2 linked regions of the Oryctolagus cuniculus genome follow. The protein of the gene in region 2 binds, or shares a complex with, the protein of the main gene of each other region. Links are inferred from orthologs where the notes say so. Each region holds a gene or a part of one and is shown on either strand. Other genes may lie near its edges. The genes, in order: CTSA and GLB1.

Evidence for each region.
Region 1: the proteins of GLB1 (region 2) and CTSA are in contact, whole or in part, in a cryo-EM structure (PDB 7KDV), measured with the Mus musculus proteins. The link is inferred for Oryctolagus cuniculus from reciprocal best matches to the Homo sapiens genes GLB1 and CTSA. Residues at the interface, in NP_033882.1 of Mus musculus: Tyr198, Asp199, Arg202, His206, Leu229, Thr233, Leu234, Gln235, Asp236, Leu237, Lys258, Phe259, Glu260; in NP_001033581.1 of Mus musculus: Glu29, Asp31, Ala37, Lys38, Gln39, Pro40, Ser41, Phe42, Arg43, Tyr107.

What each region holds. Positions count from the first base shown.
Region 1 is NC_091442.1:13,516,968-13,520,869, forward strand, and holds the start of CTSA (lysosomal protective protein), read right to left. Parts: upstream 2,513-3,902; 5' UTR 2,360-2,512; coding exon 2,306-2,359; intron 2,125-2,305; coding exon 1,946-2,124; intron 1,797-1,945; coding exon 1,685-1,796; intron 1,523-1,684; coding exon 1,472-1,522; intron 1,376-1,471; coding exon 1,289-1,375; intron 1,053-1,288; coding exon 897-1,052; intron 593-896; coding exon 501-592; intron 156-500; coding exon 71-155; intron 1-70. Other genes in the region: NEURL2 (neuralized-like protein 2), read left to right, coding at 2,721-3,462. UniProt on the Homo sapiens protein: Protective protein appears to be essential for both the activity of beta-galactosidase and neuraminidase, it associates with these enzymes and exerts a protective function necessary for their stability and activity.
Region 2 is NC_091435.1:169,534,478-169,538,279, forward strand, and holds part of GLB1 (beta-galactosidase), read right to left. Parts: intron 3,340-3,802; coding exon 3,097-3,339; intron 1-3,096.

The sequences.
Region 1 (3,902 bases), on a different chromosome or scaffold from region 2:
GAGTCCCCCAGGGAGGGGATGTGGCCCCATTGTCAGGGCAGGGCCGGTGCGGGGTGGGGGGGAGGCTCACGCTGGTCACGCATTCTGGGTCTTTGTTGTCGTAGAAGTTGCACTTGTTCTGGGAGCAGCAGTGGGTCTGCAGGGAAGACCAGAGCCTGTGGCAGACCAGAGAGAAGCGCTCAGGCCCAGTGGGCAGGGGAGGGGGCGGCGGCCACCCACCGTCTCCCTGCCAAGCCCCATCAGGTCTGATCTGGGGGACTGAGGAAGACCATCACAGGCGTGACAGGCAGGTCTCCAAGCAAGCTGCCCGGGGGCCGGCCAGCACTCCTGCGCCCCTGTGAAGTGACCTGCAGGCTAGCCTTGTGGCATCCAGCCCTGCCCACAACCCCACCCCCCACCCACAAACCAGGGCAGGGCTGGGGTTGTCACACATTTGGCACGAGGGCTGCAATCCTGACCCACCCCGCCCGAGAGATTGCCCAATCCCCCTCCTTCCATACCGGTTCCCCAGAAGGCCGTGGTAGTAGGCAAAATAGACCAGCGAGTTGTCATTCTGCTCGTAGGAGGAGAGGCCATTGCCCACAGCCAGCCCCTGTGGAACAGGCAGGGTGCTCAGCTCATCTGCACAGTGGGCAGGGCTGTGCCTGACACGTACCCAGCCCTGCTGCAATCCAGATGTTGAAACCCCAGCTGGATTGTGGGGGTGGAAGGGTGGGAAAATCCACGCAGCGTCAGGAAGGGAGTGGGCAGCCTGGCAGCTGAGCGCCCCATGCAGAGATAGGGAATCTGGTGGCAGGCAGAGCACGGCGGAGGCCGGGCTGGGTGGGGCGCCAGCCCGTGTGATCCGGCCAATGCCAAGGTCGCAGCTCCCCTTGCCTCCTGCCGCTGCCCCGCACCTGCAAGTTCATGCTGGGATCCTCCATGACCAGCACGGCCAGGGTGGGGATGTAGATGCCGGCATAGCTCTCTCCTGTCAGGAAAAGTTTGTTGTCCTTGTACTCCGGAAAGAGGCGGAAGAAATCTTTGAGGGCCTCGTAATTGTTCTGGGCAACCTGGGGGTGGCAGGAGGCAGGCAGGCAGTCAGCAGGGCTTTGGCTGTAACAGACCTCGGAGGTCATGACCACAACCCCCGCCCTGTGTGTGCAAGAGGAAGTGACTGGGCCCTGACTGCGCCACACAGCCCGGGGCCGAGCCAGGCCCGGGACTCCAAGGCCCAGCTCTCTGCACCTGCTCCATGACAGTTTGGACCACCCGCGGGGCTGGGCCAGAAAGCTGCTGCCAGTCTCACCTCAGTGTCATTGGTTACATAAACCTTGTCATTGGAGTAGGAGAAGCCCACCCCAGCCGGGGACTCGATGTACAACACGTTGGCAATCTAGAGGGGAGGAGGCAAGAGGTGACAGGGTCCCCGAGCCCATCCCAGCGCCCGGGTGCCGCCCGCTGCCCACCAAGCCCCGGGCTCCGGCTATACCAGATTCCAAGAATAGGGGTTGTACTGCAGAGTGACACCGTCCGGCTGGATCTGAGAAGGGAGAGAGGTGGCTGAGGAGGTCCCAGAAGTCCCTTTCAGTGTGGGACCCCTCCCCTCGTCCGGGGAGGCCGAGTCAGCAGAGGCAAACAGGGAGGCCCAAGGACAAGGAGACCGGAGTCTTCCTCTCCCTCTTCCCCGGCGCCGCCTACTCACCAGGAAGGGGCCGTGCTCGGTCAGCAGCCCGTCCAGAGAGCTGCAGCCGGGACCCCCGTTGAGCCAGAGCACCACAGGGCTGCTCTTGGGGTCCTTCTGGGACTCCACAAACCTGGCGGAGTGGAGGGCAGGGCAGGACTGGACCCGGCGCAGGGGCTCCCAGGCGCCCCCAGAGCCCCGTCCCTCCCCTCCCCCTCCCCCGGGTGGGCTTCGCACCGCCTCCCCCCCTCCCCAGCCCGTCCTGGGCGCCGGGCGGCAGACCAGTAGTGGAAGTGCTTGGAGTCGGAGGCTCGCAGGTAGCCCGAGTACTGGCGGAAAGACGGCTGCTTGGCCAGCCCCGGAAGGCACTGGATCTCGTCCTGGTCCGGGGCTGCCTGGCTCCGGGGCGCACAGGACGCGACGAGCAGCAGGAACAGCGGCGACAGCGCGGCGCGGGCCATCTGCGGGAGCAAGGCGCGGGCGCCGGTCGCGGACTCGCGCCCCGGCTGCTCTGCACTTCCGCGCCGCCGCCCCTGGGGAGCACAGGGCGGCGCCCGGGCCCGGGAAGCTTCCGCCCGCCGAGCCTCCGCCGCCCCCGACCCAGGGGCTCGGGGACCACTTCCAGCTCCGGAGCCCCCTCACCTCTGCTCCCTCGCGTCTCTGCTCTCCAGGAGGCGCCGGGAGACAGGCAGTCATGTGTACTCCGAGTCACGTGGGCGCCGGCCTCACGTGACAGCCTTTCTCAGGCCCCCGCTTTGGTCCCTGGGGATGGGGTGGGGGGCGGGGGCGGGGGCGGGCCACGTTGGGTCAAGGTCCTCCGGTGCCTAAGGTCGAAGCCCGGGCGCCTGCGATCAGATGACCTGGGTGTGGACCAGTCAGGTGTTCCAGCCTCCCGGGGCTCAGTTCCAAGCTGGATGGCTGGGCAAGCGGCGCTAGGACCCCCGGGCAGAGCCTCGGGCTGAGGGGGAATGCCTTACATGGTTTCTCCGCGGTCACCACGTCCTCCCGCCGCCCAAAATAGCCCCTGGCGCCTGTCCCCCTGCCTCATGGCCGGGACATGGCTGCTGCCTCCGAGCCCGTGCCGTTGGCCGCATCCTGGGGACCCGCACGCCCGGAGCCCCCTCCCACCCGCTTCCACCCTGTGCACGGCGCTAACATCCGCGTGGACCTCTCCGGAACACGGGCCACGCGCGTGGAGAGCTTCGCCCACGGCGTGTGCTTCAGTCGCGAGCCGCTGGCGCCGGGCCAGGTGTTCCTGGTGGAGATCGAGGAGAAGGAGCTGGGCTGGTGCGGGCACTTGCGCCTCGGCCTGACCGCGCTGGACCCCGCCAGCCTGGCCGTCGTGCCCGAGTTCTCGCTGCCGGACCTGGTCAGCCTCGGCCACACCTGGGTCTTCGCCATCACGCGCCACCACAACCGCGTGCCCCGGGAGGGCCAGCCGGCGGCCGAGGCACTGGCCCCCAGCCGACCCCCGGCGCTCCTGGTGGAACCCTATCTGTGCGTCGAGCAGTTCCGCATCCCGCGGGACCGCCTGGTGGGCCGCAGCCGGCCGGGCCTCTACAGCCACCTCTTGGACCAGCTCTACGAGCTGAACGTGCTGCCTCCGACCGCGCGCCGGAGCCGCCTGGGCGTCCTCTTCTGCCCGCGCCGGGACGGCACCGCCGACATGCACATCCTCATCAACGGCGAGGACATGGGCCCCAGCGCCCGGGGGCTGCCCGCTGCCCAGCCCCTCTACGCGGTGGTGGACGTGTTTGCCTCCACCAAGAGCGTGCGCCTGGTCCAGCTCGAGTATGGCTGTAGGTATCCCACCCGCCCTGGGCAGCAGCGACCCCTCCTGGCCAGGCGCAGGGACTTCCCGGCCAGCGGGCTAGGCCGAGGCCCCTCTGTCCAGCACTGGCCACAGGTTGTCCCTCTCCTTGTGATTCTGCACAAAGTCCCTCCTGGCTCTGGGCCACAGCACACCCGCGTGGGCAGATGGATTAGGGCTCCCGCTTTGTTGTGGCGCTGCCTTCTGTGTCAACCTAGTGCGGGGATTTCAAAATGGTTTTAGATCTTGGGCCTCTTGGAGAGTTGGGTGCTTCCTCATTAGGAAAACGCTCAGAGGTCGGGCATCTCAGCTGGAGGAACATCCCACACCCGACTCGGGGCTTCTTTGGCCTGAGGCTCGTTAGAGCCCCCCAAAATCGAGTTTATATCCCTGATGGTGTTTCATGAACTCAGGGAAGTAGAGCCCGCT
Region 2 (3,802 bases):
GCTAGTGCACGTGGGAAGGCAGTGGATGATGGCGTAAGCACTTGGGTCCTCTACCCATACGGAAGAGCTGGATGACCACATGGCCCGCTCTGGCTGTTGTGGGCACTTGGGTAGTGAGGCAGCAGTGGAAGATCTCTGCCTTTCAGGTAGATGAAATCAGTAAAATGCAAAAATAAATAAATAAAAGCATTTGTTTAACCCCCTGTGTCATCTGCCCTCTCCCCTTCCAGCTGTCAACGTATTTTCTTCCCGTCCCTCAGAGCCAGATCTCTGTCAGGACGCTAGGGCAATGCCTGTCAGGACGCTAGGGCAATGCCTGTCAGGACGCTAGGGCAATGCCTGTCAGGACGCTAGGGCAATGCCTGCCTTTGGCCTGGCTCACGGCAGCTATTTGTGAATCAGTGGATAGAAGATTCTCTCTCGCTCTCTCTTTTCTCTCTCTCTTTCCTTTTCTCTCTGCCATTCTGCCTTTCAAATCAATCTTTTTTAAAAACCCCATAATCATTAAGGGTAAAAAAGGTCCCGGGTTACAGAGAGAAAGAAGAGTCTTCCAGCGCCCCTGCCCCTGCTCCCGGCTCCCTCCTGTCCCGCCCGCTCAGCACAGTGCCGTGGGCTGGCCTGCTCCGGGCTCCCTCCTGTCCCGCCCGCTCAGCACAGTGCCGTGGGCTGGCCTGCTCCGGGCTCCCTCCCGTCCCGCCCGCTCAGCACAGTGCCGTGGGCTGGCCTGCTCCTGGCTCCCTCCTGTCCCGCCTGCTCAGCACAGTGCCGTGGGCTGGCCTGCTCCGGGCTCCCTCCCGTCCCGCCTGCTCAGCACAGTGCCGTGGGCTGGCAGAGGCTTCGCTCCACCGACCCCGGGGACTCCTTGCTGCTCGGTCCAGCAGGAAGACCGTGCCCGTCTTGTTTACCCTCTTGGCGGCACAAACGGCGCTTCCCCCGCTGTCCCCTCCGCCTCACTGTCACTGTGTCCCTCGCCGGTCAGCCTCATTCCTCTTCCTGCCGCTCGCTCCCTGCGGGGCCTCCTCCTCCCATGGCGCCCACACTAGCCACACATGGAGGACTGCACACGCACCCTCCCCGTCCAGACTCCTCCTCCGACTCCCCAGCCCACAGCTCCAGCAGCCTCCCGCCAGGACCTTGTCTCAGCTGTGCTCCCCCAAGTTCATGGTCATGTGACGGTCTCCGGAGGAGAGACGATCAGGCCACAGGGCAGCGCCCAGGGTGCGGTGAGCGCTCTTAGACAAGGCCCTGCAGCGCACGAGGCAGCGTCCCGCGGAGGGACCAGACACAGGTCTGCTGCTCGCTTCAGCTGCACTTTCTGCTGTGTTCCTGGAGCAGCCCAAATGACCCAGACAGCCCGGGACTCCATTTGTCTGCACCTGAACTCACGGTCCCGGTCCCCCCTCCCAGCCCAAGTCCCCTTCTGAGGCTGCTTCCCTCCCTGGGCCCAGCGCAGGACCCCAAGGGCTCTGTGAGACGAGTTCCTCTACTCGAGCCGCCACATCCAACCGGCCCCCCCTATCACACACCCTCCCCCATCGCAACTCATCTAATGTCACACACGGTCCAGGCAGCCGATGTCACCTCCATCTTGGCCAATCAGACAACGGACCAGCTCCCTAGGTGGTCAACCTGAATCTGCAAGTGCCCTCACCCAACCCGTTCTGCATACTGGGGCCGGAGGGCTTGCCACATCACCACGTCACATCACCGTGTCACATCACCACACCACATCACGTCACGTCACCGAGTCACATCACCATGCCACATCACGTCACATCACTGTATCACATCACCACGCCACATCACCACGCCACATCACCGTGTCATATCACCATGCCACATCACCACGTTACGTCACCACGCCACATCACATCACATCACCACGTCACGTCACCACGCCACATCACCACGTCACGTCACCACACCACATCACCACGTCACTCCTCTACTGCGTGTGTCTCAGCATAATGACAACACTTGGATGCAGTCTCCGCATTTACCACTTCCCTTTCAACTACAGGGCCCCTCTGTGCCATGCTGCTCACCCCTCATGTCTCAAACACCACTCCCTTAGGGGCTTCCCTGGCCTTCCTGACAAGTCTAAACCCCTCCGTTATGATCAACCCTACGCCCTCCCCTCTCAGCACCCTTCACAGATGCGGTTTTGTGTTTAATTTGTGCGGCTGGGCCAGTGTGCGCTCACTAGGCTAATCCTCCACCTGCGGCACCAGCACCCCGGGTTCTAGTCCCGGCTGGGGCGCCGGATTCTGTCCCAGTTGCTCCTCTTCCAGGCCAGCTCTCTGCTATGGCCAGGGAGTGCAGTGGAGGGTGGCCCAAGTGCTTGGGCCCTGCACCCCATGGGAGACCAGGAGGAAGCACCTGGCTCCTGGCTTTGGATCGGCGCAGCATGCTGGCCGTGGCAGCCATTTGGGGGGTGAACCAATGGAAAGGAAGACCTTTCTTTCTGTCTCTCTTTCTCACTCTCTAACTCTGCCTGTTTAAAAAAAAAAAAAAATGTGTGGCTGTATGATACAGGGCCACCTGTTCCACTAGACCGGAAGTTCCATGAGGGCAGCGGCCGTGTCTGGTTTCATTCATCAGTGTATCCTTAGCACATGGCACCGAATAAAAACCTGAACAAGTGATCGTCTAGAATGGACACGGGACTTGAAAGGGAGTTGATGAAGACACGTACGTCTTCAGAGCAGGAGAGAGAGCGATGGGGAGGTGAGAAGAGTCGTGCAGGCGGGGCTGAGCTGGACGTACAGAGCTTGCCATGGCTGGAGAAGCAGCAGACTCTCGCCACGAGTCGCCCTTACCCAGGGCCAGAATCTCCTCACGACCAAGAAACGTCCCTCGACTCAGGGCACAAGAGGCCTCAACTCTTAGAGGAAGCAGCAAAGTCATCGCTCACTAACGGAAGTGGTCGGTCAATGAAAATGGGCCAGATAGTGACACCACCAAGTTGGCCCTCGAATCCTTAAGGTCCTGCCACGACCCTGCGCCTGGGAGACGAGTGAACGCCCACAGAAACCCTCGGTGCCGCACCGTCACTCAGCATGTCATCAGCACTCCTCCTGGAGTTCCCACACCTACCTTGGTCCACCCGGGGAACGTGATAAAGGTGTCCTGGGGCAGGGACGGGACCCCGCTGGGGATGGAGAAGTTCCCAGTGTAGAAGGCTGGCAGTGTGTAGTTCCCGGGGCTGCAGGCCCTGGCGTCCTTCTGGCAGCCACCCCAGTCCCCCTGGAGGCTGCTCACTGCCCTCTCGGTGTCCAGGGGGAAGATGGTCCAGTTTGTGAGGATGTAGGAACCCAGGGTCAAGTTGGAAATCAAGCCCTGCAAAGTAGAATTAGCACAGTGAGGAGGGGGCTGGCGACAGCCTGAGGGCCTCTGCACCCTGGTCCTGCACTCCTGGGAAAAGGCCCCAGCAGGGGACGAGGGACATCGAAGTGACATGGATCTGGCTGAGGGCTGAGTCCCTGCTCCGGAAGGGGCGAACTTCCCACACTCTGAGAGGTCAGGGTGTCGCCATAAAAGGCCCGATTTCCCGCTTCTACAGAAGGGAGGTTTGAGCTGCCGGAGCACCTGACCCTGAGCCCCGGCCTTCAGTGTTGGGTTCAGGGCCGCTGCTAGAAAGGAAGACGGAACGCAGGAGGGCAGAGCAAGTGACTGGGAGGAGACAGGAGGGAGAGCAAGTGAACTGGGAGAGACAGGAGGGAGAGCAAGTGAACTGGGAGAGACAGGAGGGAGAGTAAGTGAACTGGGAGAGACAGGAGGGAGAGTAAGTGAACTGGGAGGA